4 linked regions of the Lonchura striata genome follow. The protein of the gene in region 1 interacts with the protein of each later gene in a pairwise test. Links are inferred from orthologs where the notes say so. Each region holds a gene or a part of one and is shown on either strand. Other genes may lie near its edges.

Region 1 (7,716 bases):
GGCTGGAGGAAGGGGGAAAAGCCTGGTTTCCCATGGAAACAGCTGAGGGACACAGAGCACCCATGGGGATGTGGACACAAAGGGTCCCCTCACCTTTCAGGTCTCGGTTGAAATCCTGCAGCCGTCGCATCTCACAATCCCTCTTGTTCCTCATGGCTTTCTCCAAGGCTTCCCGCTTGGAAGACGCCTTGACAAGATTTTCATAATCCTCTGAGATGCGCTGGATCTCGCTCTCCAGCTGGGGTGGAGGAAGGGACAAGCCAGGGTTAGATATTCATGGAATGAGGAAAGGGAGATGCCAGCCAAAGCCCAGCCAGGGTGCTCAGCCCAAACTGAGCTGCTCAGTGCACCCCGAGTAGGCCCCCAGCACATGTTTTGGGGGGGAAAACTGATTTTTTCGGGCTTTTCTCTTATGGAAGAGTCTCTCCACGGATTTTGGCTCTGCCATAGCCCAGCCACGGGGAACAGCCGCCCCTTGTACGCGGCCACACAAAGGGCTTTCTGTGGCGGCCGGGATGGGGGGACAGGCGGAGGGAGAGGGTCACTGGAGAATGGGCTCCTTCTCCCCAATCCCGGCTGCCGTGCTGCAGCTGCTCCGAGGGGAACAAGCCGCCAGAGGGAGGAGGAGAAAGGATTAAATCACTAAAGGGGGTGAATTTTCACGGCAGCTGGTCGAGCATCGCCCCGGGCAGGAGGGACACGGGAAGCTGCCACCACTCCCTCACCTTCTGGATGCGGCTCGCCTTCTCGGCACAGCTCTCCAGCTCCCGCCGCAGCTTCTCGCTCTCCCGCTGGAGCCTCTCGTTCTCCCGCAGGACGGCGTCTGCCCGGGCCAGGCGGCTGCCGGCCGACACCGCCTGGGCGCTGACCAGGGCCTCCACGCCGGCCGGACCCAGCGCGCCCGGACACAGCGGCAGGAACGCGGCCGGCACCGAGGTGGGCAGCACCCTGCAGAGAGCGAGGAGGGCGAGTCAAGGTTTGGCAGGGTGGGAGGGCTGGCTGCAGCTCCAGCATGCCATCGAGCACGTGCCAGTGCCTCCAAGTCATCTCGAAGGAGGTGGAAGTGCCTATCCTGCTTTTTTAGAACTGGGAAGCGCTCGCTCTCTAATCACAAATCCCATCGTGCAGGGATGCATTGACCTGACCCCTCCAGGACCTGGGCAGTGGGTCTGGATGGGCTCCCAACCCCCCAGGTCCCTCTCCTCCTGGCAATGCTGCAGGCAGCCTGGCATAGGATGCACCTTGGAAGCCAGCCTTTTCCTTATTTTCTATGCAAAGCAAAGATTCCTGACATAGGTCCTCACTGCCAAACCATGGATGCATCCTTTTTATATTTGGAGGAGCCAGGCCAGCCTGGCTGCCCCTTGTGCCACTGCTGCAGCATCCCACCTCAACATCCTGCCTGGAATACCCTGAGCAGGGTGGCTGTGCACGGCCCGGCCCCGCTGTGCTCCCCTGCGGGCTGCCCGCCAAGGGCCCGCATTCCTGCGGGATGATATAGGAGCAAGGAAGAATAAATACATCTTCCTCGCAGCTCCCCTTCCCCTCTTTGTTCCCTGGAAGGAGAAGGTTTTCCTGCTGGAGATGCTATCACTCTCTGCCTGGATAGATCAGCAGGGCTGGGAGCAGTGTGTCCTCACATTGAGCCACCAGTTCCCTTCTTCCCATCATTTTCCACAATGGAAGAGGCTGTTTCCAGTCCTTCTCAAATTCTAGGTAATGTCTGGACCACAAGATGTCCATCTCACAGTCACCCTGGAGCGTTGCCAGAGGTATTGAGCTGCCAAAGGAACCACAGACCACCTGGCACCAGCCCAGGCTCTGCTCAGCAGCAATTCCAAGTTACATGGACATTCCCAGCTCAGGACCATGACATGACATGTGGAGCAGGGACCATATTTGTTTTCCACCCTGCCCCATACCTATTCCACATTTATCTGTTTCCTGGGCTGCTTCCAGCTCCTAGATTATCCCTTAAGTTACCCCCAGCTCCTTCCTGGTGCATGGGGATGAGGCAGGGTCTGCTGTGGGAATGGGATTTTCGTCACTGGTTGGAAAAGCCCAGCCGTGCTGGGGGAGCTGGGGACAGGAGCAGAGTAGGGTGCTCCCGGCAGACCCCCCATGGCCTGTGCCAGTGAGGACAAAAGCAGCTGCTCTGGGCCCCCACTGCCCTTCGCATCCTGCAAGTTCCAAACATCCATCCTGGACATTCCTGGGAGGCATCCAAAAGCAGAGCCCAGGGGCCAGAGTTTACCTGATCTCAGGATGCTGAAATCCAGGACCTTCCCGGGAGCAGGGTCGGGGCTCAGCCAGGTAAGCGTCCTGGGAAGGGATGACGTAGGGATACTCCGGGGGCGGTCCCCGCGGCTCCGTGCCCTCGGGGTGCTGCCCGCGCAGGGGGACGAGCTGCCGGGAGAGCTGCGGGAAGCTGTGGGAAGCGCTGATGGGGCTCTGCGCCTTGGCCCCGTTCCTCTCCAGCGACATCCGCATGAGCCGCTCGCTCAGGGACCGCACGTGGCCGTGCTTCAGCTCCTTGAGCGCCTCGTCGGGGCGCCGGGCGCCGCTGTCGGCCCCGCGCGGACCGGGCTCGAACCGGAGCCCCGCGCCCGCCGCTCCCCGCTGCGAGGCCAGCAGCTGGGAATGCGCCTTGGCCTCCTCGTAGCTGGGGAGCTCCTCGCCCTTGGGCGGGCAGAGCCGATAGACGCTGTTCTCCAAGTAGACGTGGTCGGAGTGATGCTCCTGGCCCTGCGGCTCCTGCCGCGTGGATTGCTGCACCATCTGGCTCTCCTCCGGGCTGAGGCTCTCCAGCGAGGAGCGGGGGCTCCCGGCGCCGCCGCCGCGCAGAGCCTGCTGCTGGATGGCCAGCAGAGTGCGGTTCTCCGTGAGATTCCCATAGCGCAGCTGCTCCTGGATCAGGCGGTGCAGCACCGTCCCGTTCGAGTCCTCCGCCGTCCTCATGTCCGTCCGTGCCGCCGGCAGAGCCACCTTTCCACCCGGGAGGGGCGTCCCGCGGGACCTCAACAGCAACTGGGCACGCCGAGACACCTGCAAGAGGGAGAAGCGGGGTTGTTGCGAAGCAGTCGGGGCAGGAGAGTCCGGATCCTGATGGACACGGGATTGTTTGCCAGGAATGCGGCCCGGACGTGCCGGAGGGGTGGGAGCCCGTGGCGGCAGCGGGAGAGCGGAGCAGCCCCCGCACTGGGGTGGCCGAGCACCGGCACTGTCAGCGAGCCCGGGGCCGGGGCTGCCTCCAGAGCCGGTGCCCCATGGAGCCGGGACTGGCACTGGCCCGGGAGTGGGGGATAAAGCCCCACGGGACCGGGCACAGAGCCACCGGGAGATGGGTGGGACCACCCCATCCCCAGACCCGGACATGGAGGTCCTGGACTTGCAGAGGTGTCCCAGTCTCGGTGAGGGTCCTGGGACTTTTCTGTGGGGCAAGGGGGGGTGCTCTAAGTGCCGTGGGGATGTTCCTGTCCCGTTTGGGAGAGTTCCAGGAGTGTTCCCAGTCCCTGGGGGTGGATCCGGTATGGGAGAGGGTCTTCCCCGGGAGGGTCCAGGTGCCGGGGGGGGTGAGTCCCGATCCCAGGGAGAAGGGTCCCGGCTCCCGTGAAGGGATCCCAGTCCCGACTGGGGGCTTCCTTGGGCCAGGGGGGGTCGATCCCGGTCGAAGAATCCCAGCCCCAGAGGGGTGTCCCAGTCTCGGCCGGGAGGATCTCGGTCCAAGGGGGTCTCGGTCCCGGGATTGTTGGTCCGGGTGGGTCCCGCTGCCGAGAGAGGTCCCGATCCCTGCTGGGGGATTCCCGGTGCCGGGGGAGCGTCCTTTCCCCGAGGGGCCTCTCCGTATCCGGGCACCCCAGTGCCGGTCGGGGGTCCCGATCCCAGTCGGGGGCGTCCCAATGCTAAGGGGTTCCCTGTGCCGGGGGGGGTTGGGCGGCAGTACCGGGGGATTCCCGGTGCTGGCGGGTCCCGATGCCGCTCGGGGGGTCCCGGTGCCGGTCAGGGGGGTCCCGGTGCTGGGGAGTTCCCGGCGCCGGGGGGTCCCGGCGGCAGAACTCACCGGGGCATGGCGGAGCGGAGCGGTGCTGCGGCGGCTCTGAGCGTCCCGGAGCCGCGGGGGCCGGGCCGGGCTTTGCTATGCCCGGAATGTGGGGCCGGTCCCGCCCCGCTCCGCCCCGGGGCCGCCGCCGGCGCAGGAGCGCGGCCGGGAGCGGGAGCGGCAGCTGCGGGCGGGGGGGCGGCTCTGCCCGCCAGCTGTCCCGGGCCGTAAATCTGCCCCAGCCTTTGTCTGCGGGGCCGGGGCAACCCCGAGCCTGCTGGCCCCATCTGCTCTGCCCCCTCGGGCCCCCCCTTCTCGCACCCCTCTCTTTACATTCTCCCTTTTCGCATCCCCCTCGCCTCGCATTCTGTGTCCTCTCATCTCCCCTCCTCTTATCCCCCCTCCTCTCATCCCCCTTCCTCGTGTCCCTCTCCTTACATCCTCCTTCTCACATCCCCCCCTTCACATCCCCCCCCCCCACACCCCTGTCCTCTCATTCTCCACCTCACATTCCTCCTCGTGTCTTCCTCCTCACATCCCCCTCCCTCACATCCCCCTCCTTATGTCCCCCTCTTCGTATTTCACATCCCACTTCTTGCATCCCCCATCTCTCATCCCCCCTCCTCACCTTCCCCCTCCTTGCATCTCCTCTTCACATCTCCCTCCTTGCATTCCTCCCTCCTGTGTCCTCCATCCTCACACCCCCCCGGCTGGGGTTGCCAGCTCGCTGTGGATGCAGCAATTCCTGCCAGCTCGTGTCTGGGTGCCCCTGCTGCTCTCCCAGCCTCAGTTTCCCCTGTTGGGCTCTGCCACCCACCTCCCTGGGGGGACACAGGGATGGAGGAGACCATCAGGGGCCGAATTCCCCCTTCAACCCACCCCGGTTTATCTCTGGGGGGACACTGAGCACCCCCAGCCCCAGAGCAGTGAAACACCAGCCCCGTCTCAGCCCCGGGCGCCCCAGGCTGTCAGTGCAGAGTCCAGAGGCCCCGAGACAGCAGATGGCCGGAGGGGAGGCAGCGGGGAGAGGCAGGTGCAGGGGAAAATTGCTTATTAGCTCCGGGACATTAAGCTCCCATTCTTTTGAGGGAACTCGGCATCTTCTGACTGGCACAGAGCCGGGAGGATGATGTGGGGAGAGGGATGTGGGGATCTCCAGCCTCATCTCCTTGTTTTCCTGCTCCATCACACGCTGGTATCACCCCTGGGGCACCCAGGGTGCAATAGCAGGCACAGGCTGCAGGCACAACTCACTACCTCTGGGTTATCTCCCAAAAAATGGGGAAATAAATAAATCTCCCATGTGCAGCAGGTACCAGACTCAAAGGCAGGGGAGCATGGAAAGAAAATGCAGAGAGATGGAGTCGGTACTTGGAGGAAGAGGAGCACCTGGAAGTTCAAGAAACAGGTTTTCCAGCCCAGTTTTCCTAGTGACAAGTCAAATCCTCATGGATGAAGGCTGAAATGTGGGAATTGGCACCCTGAAGACCCAGTGAGGGTCTAGTTTCATGTGGGGAGGAGATGAGAGCACAGCACTTGTCCCTGTGTCCCCAGGAACATGCAGAGTCTGGAAACACGGGCCCAGGCCCAGCACCATGGGGATGGATGATGGATGGATGGATGGATGGATGAATGGATGGATGGATGGATGGATGATGCACCACTCCAATATACCAAGCCCAGCAGTGGCATTTCCGAAAGGACCTAGCTGTGGTTCTGCCCTGCTCTTTCCCAGGTGGATGGGGCTCCTACCTGAGCTCCAAGGGAGCAGCCCAGCTGCCCCAGCAGCCAGGATTCTTCTCCTGGCTCGTCCCCCAGCTTTATCTATGTTTGTGTCATCCTTCCCTTCCTATCTTAACACCGCTCTATTCCTGGCAGCAGGAAACCCCTCCTGGGCTGATAAGACCCCTTTGGAAAGTGATCTGAAGAGTTCCCTCTCCTTCTTTCTAATACTGGAGGTACGAAAAGCCTCAACCTTTTTGTTTTCCCCAGGAGAAGGTGAAACAACAGCAGCTGGACCTGTGGGCAGTGGTGGGGGCACCTTTGGCTGCCTGCACGGACCCTCTTCCCAGGTGGAGCATCCTGGAGGCTGGGGTGGGGACTCGGTGTCTGGCTGGAGCCAGGGAGGTGCAGGTGCCGTGTCCCAGGCTCCGGTGCCGTGTCCCAGGCTCCGGTGCCGTGTCCCAGGCTCCGGTGCCGTGTCCCAGGCTCCGCGGGGTGACACACGGCTCCGCAATGCCAGACCCTCCCACTGACCTCAGCCCAGCCTTATCGCCGAGGCGTTGGAGCGAGGAGAGGGAGCCAAGAAAATACTCGTGGGATGAGATCACCTCGGCTGTCTTCAGGCTCCCAAAATGCCTCAGCCCTCAGCCGTGCTGAGCCTGGAAAACTGGGGCATTGTGGGCAGAGGTGGGTGCCTGGGATGGAGAGGAGGTTTGCAGCCTCAGCACATCTCCTGGGGAGATGGTGACAGTGGTGACAGCATCCCGTGACCAGTGAGCCCCACTGGCAGTGTCCCGTGACCATGCTGAACCCCTCAAACCTCTCCATGGCAATCTTCCTGATAAAGCTTCCTCCTGGTACCTGCTTCTGTCCCGAACTCTGGATTCAAAGTGCAACCAGGAGCTGGAGGTCAAGGAATTGCACAAATGCTGTTTCCCAGTGCCAGGATTGCCCAGGCTGCCTCCAAAGGGAACTGCATCCCCAGGGACAGGTAGCCAAGGCAGCACCCCAGCCCTTGCTCTGCTCCCACCATCCCACCCAGAGGGATCCTATCCTCCTGGAGATACCCCCACAAGCTGCCAGGCCTGAGGCCAGCTCATCTTCCCTGTCCTCTCTCTGAAATCTGCATCATTTTGGGTTGTCCCAGGTCTGATCCCCCTGGAAATGTGTGACCTGGAGTGCTGCTGTGCAACAGAGCAAATTCCCTTCCCAAAACTCCAAGAGGGAACACCTCAATGTGACTGGGCAGGGCATGGGTGGGATTGGGATGCTCCTGGTTGTGCCAAATCCCCTAATCCTGTTGCTGCTTTGTGACTGATATGGCTCTTCCTCAGTGGAGGAAGGAATGGAAATATCTCTCTCCACCCAGGGGAAAACCTTGGTAGGCTTGGTGGGGACACAGCTGGAGCAATGAGGGGACCAGGACTGATCCCATCTGAAAGAAGCTTTTGGGGACATCCCCAAGAGATGAATGCAGCACTGTTCCCACCTGTCCCATCTCTCTGGGGACAGCCAGCTCCTCCACACCTCAGGTGTCTCTCCCAGAGTCAGATCCCTGAGATTCCCCTTTTTTCCAGGGGCATGCTGGATCTGCCCCAAGTAAGGATCACAGAAATTTGGAGTGCTCCTGCTCCCTCTCCTCCACATTCTCCTGGGTTCTTTCCTCTTCTGCAGCTGATCTATAGATCCCATACAGATAACCCAGGGCACATCCCCACTCCAGAGACTCCTGCCACAGTTCTTCATCAATCATACACTCTGGGAAGTGGTGCCACAGGCATCTTCACAGAGCCCCTTCTTAGGAATTTTGAGAGGGGAAAAATGTGGCTGAAAACAGGGCCAGGACCCTCCTCGTTCTCATCTTCCCTGCATTTTAATGCCCCTGAGTCATTTCCATTCCTGGATGTGAAATTGTTCTTTTCTGCTTTCCTTTATTTCCCTGTTTCCTGCGAGGG
Region 2 (7,325 bases), on another chromosome or scaffold:
GGGGGTTGAAAACACGGGAGTGGGCAAATAGGGGCGGGTGTGCAAATAGCAGGGGTGTGGAAAGGTGGGGGGGTACAAACACGGGGGGAAGGATACGTGTGAAAATGAGGAGTTGTGCAAAGACAGGGTGAGTGTAAGAACAGGGGATGTACAAACGGGGTAAGTGTAAGAACAGGGGATGTACAAACGGGGTAAGTGTAAAAACAAGGGATGTGCAAAAATGGTGCAAAGGCGTGAGTGTGCAAAGGCTCTGGGGTGGCAGCACGGATCTCCCAGCATGTTTCTCTGTGCGTTTGTGCAGGTGTGCACACAGGACAGTGTGTGTGCACGTGTGTACACACAGATGTACAGATGTTCACACACGCACACACATGAGCACAGGTGTGCACACCAGTGTGTGAGCACAGAGGTGTGCCCGCGTGCGTGTGCAACCACAGGCGTGCACTGAGGACTGCGTGTGACACAGGCGGGTGTGTTCACACGTGTGGATGCACATGAGTGTGTGCGGTGTGTGTCTGTGTGTGTTGTTGCACACACGCGCAGACACCAGCACCCCCGGGCGGGTGTGCACGCACAGGTACCAGCGCAGGGGTGGGCACACACGCGTGTGCAAGGCCGTGTGCTGCAGACACGTGTGTGCACACACGTGGCGCCGCCATGGGCCTGGGCTGCCCCCCACCCCCTCCCTGCAGTACCAGCAGCTAAAAATATCCCCAGGGATGGTGCCAGCCGTCGCCATGGCAACGGGAGGATGGGGAGCAAGGCTGGGGGGCAGCCCCCCAGAACTGACAGCCCCCCCCAGTACTCCCAGCGCACCAACCCTCCCAGAATGCCCCCAATAGCCCCCCAGCACCCCTCCTGCAACCCAAACACCCCCAGGCCTCTGCACCCCTAGAACACTCCCAGCCCCCCCAAAACCCTCAGTACCCCCAGAATTCCCCAAGGGAACCCCCAAGGCTCAGGAGCAGGGTGAAGACCTCCAGGGGGGCTGGGGTGGGAGCTCAGTCACACCCCCCCCCCCCTCCGCGCTGCTCCGGGGGGGTTTCGCGGCCCCTTAATTCCCCGGTTAATCATTCATGGGGCCGGGGCGCAGCAAATCCCCCCGTGCCGGGGCCGGGATTAAGCGGGCCAGCGGCTGCCCGGGCGGCGAGGGGCCCCGGCGGCGGGGGGGACACCCCGGCAGCGGGGGGGTCCCGCCGGGGGGGAGCCCTATCCATGAGGAGGGATTTCCTGTGCAAGGGGGGGGTCGCTTCCCACAGCTGGCCGTGGAACAGACACCACGGGGGTCTCCAGGCAGGAGGGGCTCTGAGGAGCCCTGCTGGACCCCCCCAACCCCGGCACAGCACCCCCAAACTCCGGGGCAGGGGTGGTGGTGGTGGTGCTGGCAGGGTCGGGGGTGGCAGGGGGTGCTCGGGGGGTCGCAGCTCCCCGGGGTGCCGCGGGGGCGGCCGGCTGGGGGGAAGGCGTCGAAGCCTCGGCGCCTTGGCAGGGAGCCCCGGCACAGCTGCCTCCGGCCCGGGGCCGGGGGGGCCGGAAGGGGCTGGGGCCGTTCCCAGCGCCGGGGGCAAGCGAGGGGCGAGCGGGGGCCAGCGTGAGGGGCTTCCCCTTCCCACGGGGTCAGTGGGGTGGCTGGGAGCTCTGGTGCCGCGTCCTGCCGGGGGGCACATGGCTGCTGACTGGTGTTTGGTGGGGTGTGAAGGATCTGATCCGGGATAGAGGGACACCCCCATGGGGCCGTCCGGACCCCCCAGTTGGTGGTGGGTGCTGCCCCATGGGGGTAGCCAGTGCTGGGGATGGAGGTGCCTGGTGTCATCACCTTCTTGGGGGTCCTGGGGGGCACCACTGGTGACTTGGGGCTATATTTAGTGTTTCTGCCACAGAGCAGCGGGGTGAACTTTAATGAGCGTGTTCCAGCCAACTAGAGCAGCACAGCCCCTCTAAATCCCAAATCCCCTCAGATCAGGGTCTGCCACAGGGCACAAGGTCCCCACTCTACTGGGGCAGTGCAGAGACCTGTGGTGGCACTGGGGGAACCTCAGTGGGGACGGGGAGCTGGTGATGAGCGCGAGAAGCGCCTGTCTGTGTGCTCCAGAGAGGCCACAGGCAAACTCCAGCTCTGCCTCAGTTTCCCCAATGGGATAGAGGCTGTCAGGCAACCTCAAGCAGGGGGATCTGGGGACATGAGGTGGTGTTGAGATGGCTGAGCCCCATAGGCTGGGGGCAGGCGAGCTCAGCCACAGCCTTATCGCGGGCAGACGGCTGCGGGGGGCCGTGGCCGAGCCGTGTTTGCTGAGGATAAAGTGTACGGAACAGGCGGGGAGGGACGGGGGGGCCGTCACGCTGCTGCTGCCCCGCCACGCTGGGACCGCCAGCCGTGCGGATGAGGGCCCCAGGGTGACCCGGGGGGCCAGGGGATCGATGGGGGCTATGGGGACCACCGGCCTGTGGGGACCGGGGGCAGCAGGAGGTCCATGGGTTCTGTGGCAGTCCCAGGTGTCGCTCTCCTCCATCCGCTGGGTACCCCCATCCCCTGGCGACCACCTTCCCCTGGGGACTCGCATTACCTGGGGACCACCATCCCCTGGAGATCCCCGGGTAGCACTGCCCCCTTGTTGTCCCCATTCTGAGCAGCACCGTGCCCTGACAGCCGCTGGCCCGTGGGGACCCCCCCCTCACCTTCCCTGGGTGTTGCCTGCGCTCCCCAAGTGTGGGAAACCATCCCCTGGGTACACCCCTCCCAAGGAAACCTTCATCCCTTGGAGACCCTCCTCTCCTAGAAGCCTTCATGCCCGGGAGACCCCCATCCCCCTCATCCCCTGGGTATCACCGCACCGCCCGTGCAGCCCAGGGAGGGGGGTACCCAGGGGGCTGGGGGGTGGGGGGCGGCCAGACTGAACCCCCCGGGGGTCCCAGGGCCGAGCTGCGGGGCTCCGGGCGGGGATGAGGGGGGCGGCAGAGCCGCTTTAAGCCCGGGCATGACGGGACGTGTAGTCCGGGGAGGAAAAGGGGGGGCTGGGAGCACGGGCTGCTGGGAAGGGGGTGGGGTGGCACGGCCGGGTCGGTGGGCGACCCTCAGCGCCCTCCCCAGTGATCCCCCCCGGGCTCCCGGTGCCGCCGCCATCCCCAGCCCCACGGCGGCTCCGGGTCCGGCCCCACAGCGGGGTACGACCCCCGTTGTTCCCCGTCCCACACATCCCCCGGGGGGCGCAGGGGCAGGGCCCCCCGACGTGCGGGTGTCCTGCGGGATTGTCTCCTGCCCGGGGCGGTGTGGATCTGAGGGGGACCCCCGTGTCTGGTGTGTGCCCCTCCCCGGGCCGGGCTGGGCATCCGGGGTGTGGAGCTGCCCCTTGCCTCGTGGGCACTGTCACCAAGCCCCATGGGGACTGTCCCAGATCTCCTTGAGCATCATCTCCACCCCACCGCCACCCAGCGAGGGCACCGTCCCAGCCCTTCCTGGGTGCTGTCCCCAAATCCTGTAGGGTCACTGTCACTATCACAGCATCGCCGTGGGCACCGTCCCCAGCTCCCTGCGGGTGCCGTGCCCTGCCCTCGTGGACACCAGGTTGTCACTGTCACAGCATCCCCGTGGGTGCTGTTCCCAGTGCCTGTGGGTACCATCCCCGCCCTGCCACGGGCATCCCCCTGGGCCTCCCTGGGCACCGTCTCCGGTCCCCCTTCGGTACAGCCCGCCACGCGGTGGTCGCCATCCCCCGTCCCTGTTGTCACTGTCACGACATCCCCGTGAGCACCGTCCCAAACTCCTGTGGGCACCAGCTTCACCCCACCACGAGCACCGCCCCAGGATCCCGGGGCCCCAAACTCCCGTGGGCACTGTCCCCACCTCCCCGTGGGTGCCGTCCCCAACCCCCGTGGCCACTTCCCCTAGCCCCCCCTGCACACAGCCCCCCACCCTGTGCTCACCACCCCCCGTCCTCGTTGTCGCTGTCACCACATCCCCGTGGGCACCGTCAGGGCTGCCACCACGCACCCTGCCACGGCCACCATCCCCACCCCGTGATCCCCGTGTGCCTCTCTGCCCACCCCGGTGTCACCCTCCCGCGGTCCGCCCGGACCCCGCCGCTCCCCCGTGGGTCCCCACGCGGGGCCGGGCGCGGCGGGTGCAGGGAGCGGCTGCGGCCGGCGGAGGGGGCTGCGGCCGCGGCGGAGCGGAGCGGGCGGGCGGCGGGGCCGGGGGAGGGAGGAGCCAGCGCCGTTCGTCCGCCGCCGCCGCCGCCGCTGCGCCCCGCTCCGCTCCGAGCCCCGCACCGCCGCTCCGAGCCCCGCTCCGCACCCCGCACCGCCGCTCCGCGCCCGCCGCCGTCGACCTCAGGTACGGCCCGAGCGGCCCCGCCGGCCCGAGCGGCCCCGCCACCCTCCGGTTGTTTACCGCCGCCCCCCCCGGGCCCCCCCGGCTGAGCACGGGCTCAGTTCGGTGCGTGGAATGGGGGGCTGGGGGGCGATCGGGTCGGGAGGCTCGGGACCCGCGGAGAGCTCGGGGGCCGCGAACCGCGAGGAAAAAACACGGGGAGAGATTTTTTTTTTTTTTTTCCTTGGAAAATCCGGGCGTTTGGCGTGGGGCGGGGGGGCCGCGTTCCCCCGTGGGGGGCGGGGGGGGGGCACCGCGCCCCCCATCCCCACCGCACCCGCCGCTGCTGCATGCGGGGCACGGCGCTGCCCCCCGCCCGCCACGCCACGCCACGGGGGCAGCCCCCCCCCGGTGTGGCCCCCCGGCCCCGCGGCCCCCCCGTGGCCGTGGCGTGGCGGCGTGGCGGGGTCCGGGCCGCGGCGTGGCTCTGCGGTGATGGGCGCGGGGCCGCGCCGTGGGCAGGTCGCGGGGCCGGGCCGTGGGCAGGCCGTGGCCCTGTCGCGGCGGGGGGGGGAGAACCGTGGACGGCCGGGCCGTGACGGTGCCGTGGAGTGTCCGTGAGGGCTTTAGGGGCCCCTGTGTCCGCTCCCCCGCACCCACTGCGCAGGGCTGCAGGAATGCTGCGATTTTTTAATTTTTAAAATTTAAAAATATTTTTTAAATTTTTTTTTTTTTTTTTTTTTGCGCCGAGAGCAGAGAGCGGGGGGGGGGGCGGGGGGGCGGTTCGGCCGCTCCCGGTTAGGGCGGGGGCAGCGGGGGGGCGTCCCCGGTGCGGCGGGGCGGAGGGGGGGCTCTAGCCCCGCACCACAGGCTTCGCCCTGAGCGGGGCGCGGGGCGTGGCGGGGGCTCCCCTCTGCACGGCGCCCCGCGGTCCCGCGGGATGTCCCCCACCCCAACCCCGGGGGGGGCGGATCCTGCCCCCGCTCCGGTGTCGCCGCCGGGGTTAGGGATGCGGTCCCAACCGGACTGTGGCGCGTCCCCACTGTGCGATGCGGGGAAACTGAGGCAGGGGCGGGCGGGCGCCACGGCCAAGGTCACCCCGGGACCGCGACCTTCAGCCGTGACCCCCCCCGCCGGGGGCTGCCACCGGCACCGACACCGGAGCCGCACCGGGAGGCCGGGCTGCGCCTCACCCCGCCTGACCCTCGACGGCACCGGGGACCCCCGCGGCTCCGCTGGAGCGCTAGGGGGACCGGGGCCGCCGTGGGGCGCGGGCAAACCCCGGTGGAACCGGTTTGGGGGGGGCTCCCCTGCCCGGGGGTCTTGGCGCAGGGTGGGGACGCGGCGCGTCCCCCCCTCCCCACGGCAGTGCCGTGCGGCTGCGTGTGCCCCCCGCAACGGTGCGGGCCCCGCGGGCCGGGGGAGCGGGATCCTCGCACGGGGGTTCTCCCCGGCACCCCTTACCCTCCCGCCGCCGTGACCTTCGCGGGGCCGCGGCGTGGTCGCTCCGCGGACGGGCTCCCGGAGGGGCGAGCGCGGGTTCCGTACACACCCGGTGTCCCGCACTCTGCGGAGCGGGAACGGGGGGGCTGCGGGCGCACCCCCGGACCCCTCCCGACGGGCGGCGGCTGCAGGAAGCTGAAACCCCCCGCCCCCCATCGGCTCCGCTCGTCGCCCCGCGAGTGCATTCCCGGGTCAGCGGAGCCCGAAGCAGCGGCGGGGCCGCCCCGGGGGTCCCATCCCGCGGACCCCCGGCCCCGCCGGACCCCGCGCAGCCGCCGGTGCGTGGAGGCGGGGCCGGACGCGTGGGTCCCCCTCCGGACTGGGGGGGAAGAGGAGGAGGAGAAGAGGGGCCGCGGTGCAGGCGAAGGCGGGCGCGGGCTGCGCTCCCAGGGCCCCGCTCAGGCTGGATGCGGGCGGGGGGCGCAGCGGGGTCCGGCCCCCGGGGCGGTGCCGTTCGGGATGTCCCCTGCGCTGCAGACCCTCGGACAGGGTCGGCTGACTGCAGGAGCACTGCGAGGATTGTCCCTGGTGTCCCCTTCTCAGGGGGCGATGGGTTCCCACGGGCAATCTCGGTTCCGTGTCCCGGTGCCTGTCCCTGTGTCCCCTCGTGGGTGCCCACGCTGGGCACCTCGTGGTGGCCGCCTCCCCCTTTCAAGCAGGGCCCCCCCGGGAGGGGACCCAGGAGCTCTCCCCCCCCCCCCCGTTCCCTGCACGTGAACCAGAGCCCCCGATTTAGAAACGTCCCATGCCGTGCCAAGGGCTGAGAATAGCTCCCGGCGTCCCAGCACACCTCCTGGGGCCAGGGGCACCCCGCGGGGCTCGGGGCCCGCAGCCACCCCCAAGAGCTGAGACTGGGCACACTCAGCACACACCAGGTGCTCAGGGGTCCCTGTTGGGTGACCTTCGTGGCCTGGACAAGCGGTGACATCGGGATGAGCCGCATCCTGTGTGCTGGCACAGGGGACACGGGGCTGGGGATATGGGAGTGTGGCTCTTTCTCTGCCAGGCAGCCCCGGTGGGAAGGGAAGCTGAAGCGGGATGGGGAAAAGGAGGCACAGCTGAATGCTCACACACAGCGGGAAGGAGTGGCCGGTGTGGCCTTGGTTGGATGTAGTGTTCTTAGGAATCCCATGGGGTTTGTGGGGGCTGCGGGGCTGGGGGCAGGTCATGGTGCAGGTCCCCACTGTGGTGATGCAGGACCCGTTGGACACAGGATTTGTCATAGGCTCAAGGCCACAACGTTGGGTGCCCAGTCAGTGTCGGGACAGGTCACCAGCCCTGCCAGTTGTCCTACGAGTGGTGGCTTCAATGAGCCATGAGCCACAGGGAGAACACAAACCCTGGCTCAGCCATCCTGTGCCACAGCACAGCCCAGACCCCACATTTGTGGGGAGGGGGCACCATGCAGGGCTCCCGTGGCACTGGGTGGGCTGCCCTGATGTCAGGCCCGTGGCATCCCCCTTGCTCGGGCTGCCCAGCTGCTGTGCATGCCTGGGATTCCTGCAGCCTCACGGCT
Region 3 (7,904 bases), on another chromosome or scaffold:
GAACTGATCTTACTTCTCAAGAAATTCTCACTTCCCAGCAAAATCCTCCAATAATTTGGAGGATTTAATCAGAGAGATTCAAAAGCTGGCAGTGAGGCAGCTCTGAGTAAGTACACATGTGGTCCTTGGCAATTTCTGAGCAAGGTGCCACAAAGTAGAATTTAGCGTGGAGAGCTTATTTCACCATACTGAAACAGTTCTCAATGGCAATGACTTGTCACTTGTCTCCCTCCTGTGCTGCTGGCCATGAGAAATTGCTGATCTTCCTACCTGTGTGTCATCTCCACCTTCCTTTCAAATTAATGTGGATGTAAAATGTGCTTTGCCATCTCAGTCACTCAGAGCACCTGCTGACTTTCCTTCTCCAGTGTTTTTATGTGGTGTGCTCCAGATTTCCTGCTGATAATGTCTGCTGCTCAGTCATGGAGAGAAGGAAGCTAGGACTCATCTCTTTTTTTTTTTTTATTTTTCTCTTCAGTGATATTCCTAGCATTTCCCACTTTCTATATGCATACAATACACTTCATAAAATGGCACATTTTCACATTTTTGAGGACTTTTCAGTGATTTTTTTTTCCAGTCCAATATAGAAAATGAATGGTGTTACATGTTTCTTCTTTCCACAACATTGGCAGCATTATCTCGAGAGTCTCAGTAAGGGCAGTGTTATACACATTAGTAATATATGTGTTCATTAACAAAAAGAACATTTGAAAATGCTTTTTTTTGTGTTTAAAATATTTAGGTGAAATCAGATATTTCCATCAGTTTTGGAGATATTGCTGTTCCTGATATTGTCTCTCAGTCTAAGTGGGTAACATGCTCTATGGGCAGAACTGGCATTTGAGACATAAGAAACAGGATATTTTTGTTTGCTCTTAGACTCATCTAAAATACTTGAACCCCATAACCTTCTTAGTTTGTCATATGAATAGCCATGAAGCTTTAAGTAGGCTGTTGCAGTGCAGAAGTATCATGTAAATTTTCTTTATTTAGTCCATGCTCTTATTGTGAAATTTTTGGTGTTTCTTCACACTTAACAGTTCCAGTAAACATTGCCTCACTTATGTCTGCCTAAGTTACAATGTGAACATCTATTTCTCTCGGGTTTGCTTTTAGCAAGAGTACATTACAGCACAAATATTTTTCCAGAACAGTTTCCACAAGTGTTCCCAGATTCATGGAAATATTTTGATTAATACTTTCAACTGTATTCAAATGACTTGCCTTTTTCTATAGTGCATTTTATCTCTGTCTTTGATCTTTATAAAATCACAATCTCATCTATTTTATGGAATTTTCACTACTGCTCTTGAGCAGGAGCCCTGGAGGTGTCAGTTAGTTTTAAACATTTTTGAGCACTGATCACATTAAATAGATAAAAAGACTGGTGAATATAGTTTTCTGTAATTGCATCGCTATGTAGTAAACCTTCTACAGATATAAAGAAAGCAATGCAAGAGAACCAAGGATAATAGCAGAAGTCACCATCTCTTCAGTTAATTTCAGAGAGTATGTGTGTATGTGCATATACATATAAATAAATCATTAAACTGTGTTTAGTAGAGCATAATCTTAAGAAATATTTTATTCTTATTTTGGTCCATATTTATTTCACTTTCTACATTGTACTGTATGTGGACTATAATAAAAGTGAGGAATGAAGGCCTTTTTTCTTTGGGTACATTGGAACTTTTATTTTCATCCAATTCTAAATTTCAAGTTGGGTCATATTCAAAGCTGATATTATGGAAAGCCCAAGATGCATGGACACAACTGAATGCCAAGGTGTTAACCAATGTTTGAGATGACAGGCTCTTCTGTTACATTTTTGTTAATTGCTTCTCAAATGCCTTTCTAGACTTGCATGTAGTACTATGACTCAGTGTAGCCTTAGAAATTCTCATTAAGTCAAAATCAGAGGTAGTGTTTAGAAAATTTAAGTCATGTAGCAATAAATACCAATGAATCTAAAGGAGTTGAAGTTAATAGTGTGCTGTCCAAAAGCAAGTATAAATCATATCATGCTAGAGTCAGCTGAGAATTTAGCTGAAGATCTTCATGACCTACTTCATCCCTCCAATAGGAAAATCAGCAGAGGTGGATAATCATAGAACGATTCTTTTTTGCAGTTTTCCCAAAAGCCTTATATTCCCTTTGTGCAGAATACACAAAGCTATGTCTTTCATCCATGCTATTTATTCCTGTATCTCAGAAGAGGTGGAAAAATGGTGAATATGTTCCTTTAACCACAAAAGCACTCAGCCCTGCATCCCACCTTTTCCCTGAATCTGTCAAGTGCCTACTGGAAGATTTGGAGAGTAAGACCAGATTTTGCTGTAAAAGGGTTTTTTTTTTTATTTTCCTGACCTCTACCAAATAGAAGTAATGTAAAATATAGAAAATATCTTTCTTCCTAATCTGGGAGAAAGATCAGGTTTGTTTTTATGGCTGATTATAATTAGTGACAAACACATAAGCAAATAGGTGACCAAACTCCATCTGGAATATTATTTCCAAGACTCTCCACCCACATAGGAAGGATATTACTCGCCTTGGAGACTTCTTTCTAGAATTCTAGAATTTCTGGAACTTGAGTCATGAAGGCAAATTTGAACTGTTTTTTGTTTTTTCTTCTTATAGATGTGAGAGTTAAAGTTGTTAAAAGTGTATGCCCAGGATTAACAAGAAACCATTTATCATGGTGAAAACAATGTGTACCATTTAATTTTAAAAACTGCCTGAAGTTTCAGGATTTACTTTGGCTTTTGACAGTCCTGAAAACTCAGTGCACTGGACTGGAATGATACATATGGGACATAATGTGTGCTGCACAAGATTCTTCACGTAGGTTCTTCACTATGCCAAAGACCTTAAGTAAGACACCAATATTTATGAGCAAGCAGGTCTTCAAGCTTATTGCTGGATCTCATGTCTGACATTTCCAGTAGCATGCCAACTGTCTCTGCATATCTGTTATCCACTGGCAAGTGGAAGCACGGGGAAAATAAACCCTGATTGTGCAGCCTCCAGGAGGAGGCAGTGGTTGATCTCTCGCACTCGGCTGCTTTTGAATCCCCATGTCTGTCACAGGGGATTGTCACACACTCCATAGTCTGTTACCTTTAACAAGGCTGCATAGGCTAGATATTAGAAATAGGAAAGGAAGAGGGATAAACCAGTGTGAGTAAAGGTTATTAGACCTTTCATATTAAATAATCCAGGGAGATATAAAGAAATGGATTCAAGGCATTTAGACTATTGTGGAGGGATATTTTGGGTTCATGTGATAAAACACTAAGGGCTGAGGTAAACAAAAACAATACTCTGAATTTGCTTTCTGTTAGGTTTGCTTTACTCCAGAGGGCTATCTCTGTTGACATATAAATACAGGATGACAGAGTAATGTACCAGAATAATGTTGGAGAGGACTATACTGTTTCAGTAAATGTTTAACAGAATGAAATAATGAATCATTTACATTCCGTAATTAGGATTTAATAAAGAATTTTTTTTGTTGTCTCCGTAAATTTTACTTCTGAAAGGAAAAAAAAAAAAAAAAAAAAAAAAAAAAAGAGATGGAGATACAAACCTTCTGCGAGGATAAAAAAGAGGAAGGTACATATCTCGCTCCTAATCAAACGCATGCATCCCAACCCATTCTGGGTTGACAGCTGGATTTCTCGCAGACCATGTGTCACTTTCTAACACGGAGGTTAAACAGGGGGCAAGCCAGCACCAGGCTCTCCGCAGCATCACTGGGGGAGTGCGGGGACGGGGCTGCCGGCGGGGATGGCCCCGGGAGGGTCGGCGGGACTCGGCTCCCCCAGAGTGCGTCCCCGCTGCGGAGATGAAGCGACGCCACCGAAATCCTCCAGCCCTGACGGCCGCCAAGGGCAGCGGACGAGCCCCGGCAAGGCCGCCAGCGGGCTGCTCTCCCCTTGCCGTTCCTCTCCGCCTTTTACGTCTCTCCCCGCCGCTCTCCGCCAGCGACAGCAGCCGCGGCGCGATCCGCCGGCGGAACGCGGCGAGGCGGCGGGAGCGCGCCTGGGGAGCGCGCCTCGCCCGACGGCGCGGAGCCGGCGGGTGCGAGGGCGCGGTTCCCACACGCCGCGCAGACACACCCCCGTAACGCCGCGCACCGCGGCCCCGCGGCGGGAGCCGGGGTGGCGGTGCGGGGCCGGGGTGGCGGTGCGGGGCCGGGGAGGCGGTGCGGGCCGGGGAAGCGGTGCGGGGCCGGGGTGGCGGTGCGGGCCGGGGAAGCGGTGCGGGCCGGGGAAGCGGTGCGGACCGGGGTGGCGGTGCGGGCCGGGGCGGCGGCGGAGCGGAGGCGCCGCGCCCGGCGGGCGGAGGCTGCGCGGGGCGAGCGCCCCCCAGCGCGCTCCGCCGCGCCGGTTACGTAAGCGCGGGCGCCCCCCGCGCCGCCCCCGCCGGCGGTTATGCAATCGCAGCACACAGACCTACTGTACGGCGCGCCGCCCCGCGCCCCGCCCCGCCCCGCCCCCGCCCGCTCCCATTGGCCGCCTCCCGGCGGCGCCGGGCGCCGATTGGCCGGCCGCGGCCGCCAGTCACGGCGCGGCGCGGCCGGCATGCGGGCTATGAGCGCCGCGCCGCGCAGCCCTGACCTACTAACACACATCCCTCCGCGCCGCCGCCGCGCGCTCCCGCCCGCCGCTCCGCCGCCGTCCGCACGGCGCGGCGCCGCACCGCGCCCGCTCCGCACCGCCGCCCCCCTCATAGCGCGGGGACCGGCGCGGGGCGAGGAATGCTCGGCGCTCCGCGGCGCGCTGCAGGTAAGGAAGGAAGGAAGGCAGGCGCGCGTACAAAGTTGTGGCGCCCGCCCGGAGCTTCGCTCTGGCTGCGGGCGGGGATCGGCTCGTGCTTAAGGGGAGCCCGGCCAGCTCCGGCCGCCGCCGGGCGGGAAGGGTCCGGCGGCGGCGCCGCTCCGCGCGGCGGCGGGCGGCTCGGCGGAGGGGTGGTGGCGCGGGAGGCAGCCCGGGAGATGCCGGCCGGCGGCTCTGGCTGTCGGGGCGTGCTCGTTCCTGGCGTGCCGCGCTGCGCCCCGCGTGTCTTCGGGCGAGCCCCGGGCAGCGCCGGCGGAGCGGCTCTCCGCGTTGCATAATGTGCCGGCGGGGAGCGGAGCTGCCGCGGCGGGCGCCGTGCGGGGCGGAGGGCTGGGTCCCGGGCAGCGCCAGCCGCAGAACCACCGGGAGCTGCTGCCGGAGCCCGCCGGCCAGACCCAGTCCTCTCTCGGGCGGCGCAGGGGCATGTTGCCCGCGGGCAGTCGGGATCAGTGGCAGCGGCCCGGCGCCGGGGCTGCGCTTGTCTCAGCCAGCCTTTTCCGTCACTTTTTGTCGCTGTTTTTTAGGCGCTGCGGGACCGATCGCATAATAGTTCCTGGAAATGTTGCATTATGTAACCACAAAATATGCTGGCGGCGGGGCTGGGAAAAGGGAGCTAATTATGCGATTTTATAATCTGCCTACAAAGAAACTAGGACAATCTCGCCCCGAAAAAAAAAAAAAAGAGCCCCCTAAACCCGTAACTGTAACAGGTTTTGTTAAAGTGTGTTTATTAAGGGAAGTAGACAACTGGGTAAGTGGGGAGGCGAGGCGCGCTCGCGGGCTGCGTGCCGGGTGCCTTAAAACGAGATTTGTGTTGGGTCTATATTTAGCCCCTTCGCGTTTTAGCAATTGTGGCTTCATGTGCTATTTCTGGTCTTTTCTCCAGAGCCGTGCGTGTGTAAGACGTTCGAGGCATTTGCTCGGATTTTTAACTCTACGCCTTCAGAGGCTTTTTAGATCAGGCCGTATTTATTTTTTTTTAGGGAAGGCGTTTCGCCCAGACGCCGTGGCATCTCTCCGGTACGGGCTTTCAGTGGGTGGGGGGGGGATAAGAAATGAAGAATAATTTTTAAAAAACAAAGCATCAGACCAAAACAAACCAAACGGGGATGGCTTGATTTAAAGGAAGAAAGGCGTTTACGGGCGATCTCAGCCGCGCTGGAGGGGGAGAGGAAGAGCCGTCCCGGCCGTGCCCGGCGGGCGGGGGGCCAGGTGCGGCCGGCCCCGCGGGGCAGCGGCGCGGGCTCCGGGGGAGTAGGTCAGTGTGACAGACGCGATGGGCGGGGGAGCGGAGCTGGCTGCGCGGAGCCCTCCGCGCCCGCTTCTCCTCGCGGGGCTCGCGGGGGTCGCCGCTGCCTCCCTTTCCCCCGGGCGGCGGGGCGCGGCGGCGGGCGAGGGCGGCGGGCGTGCGCTCCCCTCAGCCCTTTGTTCTGGGCTGGGGCGGCGGCGGCGGCGGGGGGGCGGCGGGCTGGCAGCGCGGGGCCGGGCGGGCCGGGGCCGTGCGCCGCCGGTCACGTAGGGGGCCGCGGGGCCGAGCCGGGCCGCCTTTGTGGCGGCGCCGATCCCGCGGCTCGGCCCCGCACCGCGCCCCGCGGAGCGTCCCCACCCCGCTGCCCATCGCCCCCCCAGTCCCAGCGTCGCCTGCAGGCAGGGATCGCCAGACAAAGGCCCTCGCTGGTAGGCACGGGATGAGCGTTTTCTTTCGTTTCTTACGTAACGAGCGACAACAACATCATAAAGGCGGGGGGAGGAAAAAAAAAAATCATCATTGCCTAATTCTGTAATGTTTTTCCCAAGTCGGTTCGGCGTCGCAGTGGCTGTGTGTTTTGTACTCTGGGGCCGGCTTGTGCTGTGTCCTCGATAGGAGCATAGCTTGAAAGTTTCTGACTTGCCTTTCAAGATGAGGTGCTTTTAATTTATTTTAATTTTTTTTTTCAATTTTTAATTACTAAAACGGTTCTCCAATACGTGAAACCAACATCTCTGTGCTTCTGACCAAAAACCTCCCAACCGAGTACCCCAGCCACAGGCTTTATGTTCATTGTACCTGCTATAGCAAGTAGTAGCAAAGTATTTTAAAAACGTAATATTCTTGGTAACTGCATAAACTTTTTTTGCTGCTTGATTGCTGGGGCCAAGTACAGCTTTGACAGTGAGGCTTTTTTGGAGTTACAGTTTTGTTAAAAGCAACCCTGTTTTTTTTTGTTGTCCTTGTAACTTGAATGATTGCACTTAGTTTCGTTATGTTTGCTCCAGTGTGTATGTAACCTACTTTGAGTTATCTTTGCCCTCCTCAGTAATTAATTAAATCCAGAGCCTCGTTTGAAATATTGCTATGTCCATTGCTTTTATGGTCCTTATTCAGTCAAAATCTTGACTTTGATGAGAAACTCGAATGAATAAGGATTTGGTGTTTTGGCCCAAAAGCCTGATTTAAGCCAACAAGTTCAAGGACTGCTGAATAAGGATCGTTAATAACATTGGCACTAACAGTTATTGTTACATTACACATGTCTCACATTACAGATGTCTTTGACTGTTAAAATGCTAATAAGCGTTAGAATATTCTGCCTCCACTTTCATTTACTTTATATTTTTATCTTGTGCTCCAAAGGACTCTTGACTAGCTTTCAAAATATCCAGCTTCCTGAATTTGCATCCAAAACTACAAGTTTCTGCTGTTTTGGTGGGGGTTGTTTTGCGTTTTGTTATGAGGTCTGGGGGGGATTTTTTTTGTTTGTTAGCTTTTGTATTTATGAAACAGATGTGAAGGTGTCAAGAAGCTAAGAATCTTCCCATGGGCAGTATGAACTTACATGACCTCCAAACAGCTTATCTCATCTTAAGAGGGAACAGTATTTGCCTTGCTTTGGATGAAATTTATAGAACATACATTCTTTCTATTGCAGTAGAGTCAAAAGAGAGTCTGAGAAAGATATCAGCACAATGCTGCTTTTTTCCAATCCTTTATCTTGAAATAAAACTCTTAAATAAAATAAACCTTTAACTCATTTTAAATTGACTTATTTTAACAAATAGTTATGCAAACTACACTTATGC
Region 4 (7,410 bases), on another chromosome or scaffold:
AAAGTAACACGCAACCACCAAGATGTTTTATTTTTCTTTCCCAACTTCTGAAATAGCTTTGCAATATTGACAAATGCACAAAAGAAACCCTGTGCATGTCTGCCAGCCCCTAGGGGAGAGAGAATTTTGTACAGAATTCTGTTCTATCAAAGGAAACATTTTGCCCCAATCTCTCCTGTTATGTCACCCACAGGAGGAAAATGGATATTTTGGAAATAGGTCATATCTCTTTGCATTTATTTTGATTGGTAAAACTTTACACCTTTTGCAGCATGTATCAAAGTATTTTGCTTAAAAAACCCCCATGATCAGAGGAATGAACTTCATCCAATAGCCTTCAAACACAGCTCATAACTGGTACTCCATGACTGCTGCTTTAAATTGCTGCTGATCTTGACTTGCATGCAAATAGTCTTTTCAGAGCTCTTGTGACCTACCTCCTAATATTGCACTTTCAAATTGAGGGTGAAGAATTAGATTTAATAAAGTATCCAGAGTATATTTTTTTAGTGATAGAAAGTGAAATAATTTTGTTTGCTAGAATCTAGAGACCCCAGGGCAACCACTTCTTTTTGGCTAATAGGTTGCTCTTTGGCACCTTTGGAGGACCTCACCCCAACATCCAGACTTGTGATTGATGACCAGTCCAAGACTACCAGTCCAAAATGCTACATCTTTGAGATGGGAGAGACTCCAAATGAGAAGTTATTTTCAACTCATTAAGATATAGTGCACTATATTGCACACATGGTAAAATTTCTTTCATCCCTGCTTCTCCTTCAAGGTTTCATCTATACCAGTATCCTAATGACTCACATTATATATATATATTTCTGGTTTCTCCCTTTACAATCTCCTTCTTGTCAGAAATACTTAGTTACTATGCAACTACTCACTACAACAAAAGCTGGCAATCAGGTTTATAATCAGAAAGTCAGGATCTGCATTTCAGAGTCTAAAGTGATACATACTCACCGCCTCCATTCCATAAATTAGGTGTAAAATTACAGCTTTCCTCCCTAGCTTTTTCTAAAGGTGTCTAAAACTGGGAAAGGAGATACCAACATCTGTACTAGCCAACATTTTATTTATAGTAATTGTTATTGCATCCAATTTTTTTCAATGCTAGTTTTCCAGATTTAATTTTTATATGGTTGCCAGTTATCCCTGTTAATGGTATCTTTCTGATTTTTGGAAAATACCACAAACCGCGCCCCCCCACCCCCAAACTGTTAATACCCACCTCTCCATTAAATGCAGATCTGAGCAGATGAGGATTATGACAATCACCTTCTTAATAGTTATTTTACTCTAATGAAGGGCATAAGTCATGATCCAGAAAAAAAAAAAAATCACACCTTTATAGACACATAACACTTGCATTTGCTTATATTGATGAAATGGTCATTCCAGAGACTGGTGCTCTGGTAGTTGGCTGGATTCATAAATGTATTTATACACACTAAACAAAAATCTTTGCAAGTCCTCTAACAGACCACGTAGAATTTCATCTTTCCCCACCTCTTCTAGCATTTGCCTCTAGAGATCTGATTAAGATAGGTGCTGTCACTTTATATGTTAAGGGCTTATAAGTGATCTGATAAATTAGCTTTATAGTCTGGAAATAAACTGTAAGCTGTCATAAGCCTTGTGCCCATATGTAGTGCCCAGAAGTACCCTTTGCTCTTATGTTTTCTAGCACTTCATTTGGACAGACAAGTTAACTTCAACCAGTACTTTTTTTTTTTCCTCCACACAACAGATTGCTTTAGCTGGGTAATCCCCCCCTCTCCTGGCTATAAACAGAATAGAACCATGTGGAGTTGTGTGTTGTTAAAAAAAAGTTTCTGTCTTAACTCCTTATCTTGGTTGCTTATTTCAACCAGGGCATGAAAATTTTGATTTCCTTCTGGGGTTTATTTTTAGCTCCTTTAGACTTTGTTCCAACTGTTTGAATAGGAAATAACAATCAAGCCAAAGGTTTCCTGTTTTCCTGCCATTCCTTTCCCTGCAACTATTTCCAGTAGTTTTGTTTTGTTTTTGTTTTTGTTTTTGTTTTTTTTTTTCCTAGTCCAGAACCTTTGATTTCTAGTCTTTTTATCTTCCTAATCCAAAAGGAAACACTTGAATTGGGGATTGTTAGACATTTTTACTTCTGGTTTTGTGTTTTGTGGGTTTTTTTGTGATTTTTTTTTTTTCCCTTTCTGAATCCCTATGGATATCTTGAAAGAAAATTCAGATCCAACTGATGAAATTTCTAGGTTTTCTTCTGGAATGTCTCCTGATGTTGTTCCAGGCCATCTCCTAGCTCCTTTCAGCCATTTGACTACCAGTTTAACACTTTAACCAGGCTCCCTCAAAAGAATACCAGATTGGAGAAAAAAAAAAAAAAAGTACCTTGGTAACTACTTTGGTCGGTTTTTAAAGCTATGTGAACCTGCACTTGGCCAGGCTTCGGGGACTCACAAGTTTCCTGGCAAAAACCTGGGGACAAAAGTTCAGCTGCTGTTGCTCCGTTAAACAGCCAGAGCCACGTTTAAAAACGCTGGGCCAGGCCAGCCCGGCCCCTTATGCCGAGGTCCGGCCGGCCGGAGCTCGCCCCGCCCCGCACGGCCGGCGGTGCCGGGAGCCCGGAGCGCAGCGAGGTTGGCAGGCGGGAGGAAGGGATGGCGGCGGATCTAGGAAAGCACTCAGGATTCCCACGCGGGCTACAGTTATTTTACAAGTCGTAGGTTTGTATTAGATGTTAGGAAGACATTCTTTACTGTGAAGGTGATGGGGAACTGGAGTGGCTTATCCAGAGAAGCTGTTTCCATCTGAAACCATTCTATGAATCTATAAAGAAAAGATGAAAATCGTAATGGGTATGGAGAAAGGATGCCAAGTGGTGCTGCGTCCATTTGTGATTAAAAAGCCAGAGACAGCAAGAAGAGAAGGGATGGAGTTTGCACACCGAAGGGTGGGAGGTTAGTTATGCCTAATTTTTCTCTCACTGCTCTTGGAGAAGAGGTGGCACACCTACATACACTCCTCTTTGGGGAGATACAGGGAAATTACTTGCATTGGATATACAGAGATGTGGGAGAAAAGAAGTGAGTAATGTACAGCAGTGGTTATTGTGGTTGAGGTGGGCAGCTATTGCTGTGGAGGTGGAAATCCATAGGGAAACACAGAAGTTAACTGCCTCACAATATAGCCTCCATAATATCCATCCAGACAGCTGAGAGGAACTAAATTTGGACTTCAACATGAAGAACTGCACCTGCCAGGCACACACAACTTTTAACTCCTTTGAAGTGGCACATCACATCACTGAGACACACTGTGCTTTTCTACTGCTCTTTCAGCTGGCCCAGATATCAAGAGTGAGCCTGTGCAGTACAAGTGAGCTCACCTTCGGCCCAAAGCTATCACCCACATGCCCTGCAGGCCACAACCAGCTCTGTATTTCAGGACTCTTGAGGATCCCTGCCGGACTCCCTTGTGCCAAGGTCCTGAGGTGAAGCTAATCAGTCCCTCACAGCAACAGGACAGTTCAGACAGCTTTTTCCAGAAAGTGTCACTTCTATTCAGTACATCTTATGTACCGCAATTAACAGCAATTGGTCAATGAACAGATAAGTACTGATACTCAAAGCCAAAAAAATTATCCCAAACCTGCACAGATTGCAGATTGTCTCTTTAGTCAGTTCTCATATCCACTCCAGTGGACCGCTGCCACTTCCAGTTAAGTCTGACTTTAAAGCATATCACACGTACAGGACAACATAAGACACTGGGGAAGTAGCAAGTTCTGCTGAGGAGGCCACTATTCATAGAATCATAAAATGGCTTGAATTGGAAGGCACCTTAAAGATCATCTTGTTCCAAAAGCTCCTGGAACACCTCCAGGGATGGGGTATCCACAGCTTCTCTGGGCAACCTTTTCCTCACCACTTTCACAGTAAAGAATTTCCCCTCAATAACACAAGGACCTCTCCCCTCTGAGATCCGAGTCATAAGGGACATCTTGCCAGCATGCAGAACTCCTCGGCAGGAGAGTGGTGGGGCCACACGTGAGGCAGGGAACGGCCACGATCGAACCCCCACCACACAGGGCCACGGCCTCGCTCGGCGTCCTGCGGGAGACGCGGGCAGGTACGAGACTCTGCCTGGCCGCGATGAAGCCTCTCTCGGCACCGAGCAGTCCCGTGCGTGTCCCGGGACAGGAGAGGGGCGCGAAAAGCCGCCGCTACGCACCCGGCCCCGCACAGCGCCCTTCCGGCCCTCTCAGGGCGGACCACAATTCCCAGAACGCCGCGCGCGTGGTGACGCCAGACGGCGGCGGGACTTGGCCAATGGGCGGGCGCGCAGGCACCGGGCGGGGCGGAGCGGCCGGTGGCAGCGGCGGAGCGGCGGCGGGAAGGGCGGGCTTGGGGTTCCACAGCAGCGGCGGGGACGATGCCGGTGCATTCCCGGGAGAAGAAGGAGAATAATCACGATGAGATGGAGGTGGACTACGGAGAGAACGAGGGCAGCAGCTCTGAGGAGGAGGAGACCGAGAGCTCGTCCGTCTCCGAGGAGGGGGACAGCTCAGGTAGCGCAGCCGCCCGCAAGGCAGCGCCGCTGAGAAGGCGCCGCGGCGGCTCCTCAGCGCTCGGTGCCGCCCCGGGGACACACCGGTTCCGCCCGGCTCTGCTGCTGTCGGTGTGCCCCCTCCTTCCCCTCCCCCCGTGACCCCGCCCCGGCCCAGCCTCTGCTTCAGCGGCTCTTCTCCGGGCGGCCGGCCAGGGCGCAGGAGCGGGGCGGGGCGCACGGGCAGCGGGCCCCGCTGCGCCCCGAGCCCCGGCTCCGGAGCGGGCGGGTACGCGGCCATGGCGGCCTGGGCCGCGCTCCTCCGCTCGCTGGAGGAGCGTGGGTTGTGCCCTGTTGGCCTTGAGTGCGTCCTCGCTGAGGTCTCCACTTAAGGGCTTATATACATACGTGTGCATGCATGAACACGTGTGTAAGTACGTATTTCCATGCAAGCTCACGAAGTTCAACTAGGTGTTTTAAGAACTGTCTTTGGGGGGGATATTGGAAGCCTGTTAATACCACTGCCCTCTTTTGCAGAGCACTTCAGCCTCTGCTCAGTTGAGCTTCCCTTCTTATTTCCATACTTTCCATCTGGACTGTAGATTTTGAATTACGTTAGTAGCTGAAATCTAGCTTTAAATGGATCACTTTTTCTATGTTTCATTTACACTTGTTATTAAGAAGGTTATTATTAGCTGTTCTAAGTTTCCTTCTAATTACTACTTTCTGTGTTTGATCTTAAAACATGTTTCCAGGTGATAACTGGTAGGATTAGTGATGACATACAAGACAGTGGATGGAAAAGAAGTTGGACAGGGTTAGTGAATTGAGAAAAGTCCTGATGTCGATGTGGACTTGGGCCAGTCCTAGTCCTGACATGTGGTTCTGGCAGCTTAAGTGATTTAGTGCTGAGGCCCCTATATCATCAGATTAAAACCATAGAATATGCTGAGTTGGAAGGGACCCAGAAAGATCATTAAGACCAACTCCTGACTCTGCACAGAACACCCCAAGAATCACACTGTGTGCCTGAGAGTCTGGGATTAGGAAGAAGTAAGTGTGTTTTAAGTGGATGTAGTCTGTTCATTTTTCTTTAGAACAACACCAGAAGCTCTCCAGATAATTTTTGTTGCATTCCACAGAGACTTGCTCTTAAGGGAGTACTTAAAGTTTGATGATGACAAAAAATTACATGGTTGTCTCAGTGTCTTGACTAATATCAACATACTCCTTGTAAGCTTTTTATTCCTACAGACTTAAAATGATTAGCACCCCAAGAAATAAGTCTCAATTGAAATTAGTAATTAATTTTTTGTCAAATTTGTAATTTGCTTTACTTGCACAAAAGGTGCTGTTAGAGGAAGCATGACCGTCCTTGAGAGCTGTCACTCTTTCTATATTGTTAGTTTTGATGTTATGTATTTAGTACAGGTGTTTTATTGACTTGAATATGGAATAGTTGATACGGGATGAATTTAAAAAGCCACAAGTTATGCTTGCTATCCCAGAGGAGAATTTGGCCATTTTTTAAGCACTTTATATAGGCCACATCTTATTAAAAAAAGCTGTTACATTTTAAGTGCTGTGTGGATTTTTTTATCTTTAAACCGTGTTGCCCTAATTGCTGTGTTAGACTGCTTGAGTATAGTAGGAGAAAACAACTGGGATTTTGAAAGTGTTTTTAAATGCCCTAAATACTTTTTGCAGTATGAAACTGTATGGTAAATCTGAAGTTTTGAGACAGGTCAGGCCTATTAGCAACTGTTTTAATATGGAATGAGCAATCCTCCATCTCCTGTGATGTAAATTTTCAATTGGAAAGCCATGAGATTTGATTTTACAACATTTTATGTTTTCAGTAATTCATATTCCATAGTTTGTGTGTTGTTTAAGACCATGAGGAAGAAATTCCATAAATGGGGAATTAAATATATTTCAGGACTCTGAAAATCTTCACCATTTTATGAATCTTATTGAAGGAAGAATACAGATGATAACATTGAAAAGCAACTTGGCATGTGAATTACCATTTAGTATGAATGATAAGGGAGAATTGAAGACTTCTAGGCAGAAAGTCAAAGTATTTGTAGCTGAGAGGAGATTGGAGGTAGCTGTGGTTTTTTTTATCTACAAGGAAGTCAGCTATACCCTCAGATACCAGTGAATATCAATTTCCTTGCAACACAAGTTAAAAATTTAAGATGCAGTCCCTTTCCCCTCCAACAGTGGGTGTGCTCTGATCCTCATCCAGGATTACAGTTCTAGTTTTCTTTGCTTTTTACTCTCTAAACATACACAAACAATAACATCCGTGTTAATTTAAGAAGAGCTTTTGAGTGAACTTACTAAAACATACTTAGAATTAAAAACATAGAAGAACACATTTGAAACATATTTGAGAATAAAGGGGAAAAACTGTTGGTATGCCAGTGCTTGTTCCTGTTTAGTTTCACTGGGAAGTGCCTTCACATTTTAAAGAGGCTTCATTTTTGTAGCACAGAAATGCTTTGGGCAACTCTGGATAATACGATTGCCACATTCTTTAAATCTGCCCAAATTATAAATCACTACATTGATTTTGTTGTGGATATTGTGTCAAACAGTCACATAAAACTTTGTTCTTTCATGTGATTTTCAGCCTTATTCTGGGATTACGGTTTTGCCTTACTTTTGAGAACAATATTTTAATATAAATAGTATCTCTTAATGGCCTGATTGTTCTTCTCCCACTCTCCCCATTCATTGCATTTTTTTAAGCTCTGTCTCAAATTTTCTTGCTCTGCTTTCAAATACTTCAGGTTATATTGTGTTTTAAAACTTCCTTTTTGACTGTAATAACAGTACTAGGTCTTTAAT

The links.
Region 2: the proteins of AMOTL2 (region 1) and THRA interact in binary tests that used the Homo sapiens proteins (3 or more experiments, as listed by UniProt). The two-hybrid records come from large-scale screens. The link is inferred for Lonchura striata from reciprocal best matches to the Homo sapiens genes AMOTL2 and THRA.
Region 3: the proteins of AMOTL2 (region 1) and NFIL3 interact in binary tests that used the Homo sapiens proteins (3 or more experiments, as listed by UniProt). The two-hybrid records come from large-scale screens. The link is inferred for Lonchura striata from reciprocal best matches to the Homo sapiens genes AMOTL2 and NFIL3.
Region 4: the proteins of AMOTL2 (region 1) and BRMS1L interact in binary tests that used the Homo sapiens proteins (3 or more experiments, as listed by UniProt). The two-hybrid records come from large-scale screens. The link is inferred for Lonchura striata from reciprocal best matches to the Homo sapiens genes AMOTL2 and BRMS1L.

The regions. Positions count from the first base shown.
Region 1 is NC_134612.1:5,558,320-5,566,035, forward strand, and holds the start of AMOTL2 (angiomotin-like protein 2), read right to left. Parts: upstream 3,041-7,716; 5' UTR 2,959-3,040; coding exon 2,255-2,958; intron 949-2,254; coding exon 726-948; intron 239-725; coding exon 94-238; intron 1-93. UniProt on the Homo sapiens protein: Regulates the translocation of phosphorylated SRC to peripheral cell-matrix adhesion sites. Required for proper architecture of actin filaments.
Region 2 is NC_134627.1:7,028,517-7,035,841, reverse strand, and holds the start of THRA (thyroid hormone receptor alpha), read left to right. Parts: upstream 1-4,228; 5' UTR 4,229-4,330; intron 4,331-7,325.
Region 3 is NC_134642.1:7,511,793-7,519,696, forward strand, and holds the start of NFIL3 (nuclear factor interleukin-3-regulated protein), read left to right. Parts: upstream 1-4,686; 5' UTR 4,687-4,793; intron 4,794-6,498; exon of another isoform or gene 6,499-6,521; intron 6,522-6,611; exon of another isoform or gene 6,612-6,749; intron 6,750-7,904.
Region 4 is NC_134608.1:25,089,905-25,097,314, reverse strand, and holds the start of BRMS1L (breast cancer metastasis-suppressor 1-like protein), read left to right. Parts: upstream 1-4,336; 5' UTR 4,337-4,440; coding exon 4,441-4,576; intron 4,577-7,410. UniProt on the Homo sapiens protein: Involved in the histone deacetylase (HDAC1)-dependent transcriptional repression activity. When overexpressed in lung cancer cell line that lacks p53/TP53 expression, inhibits cell growth.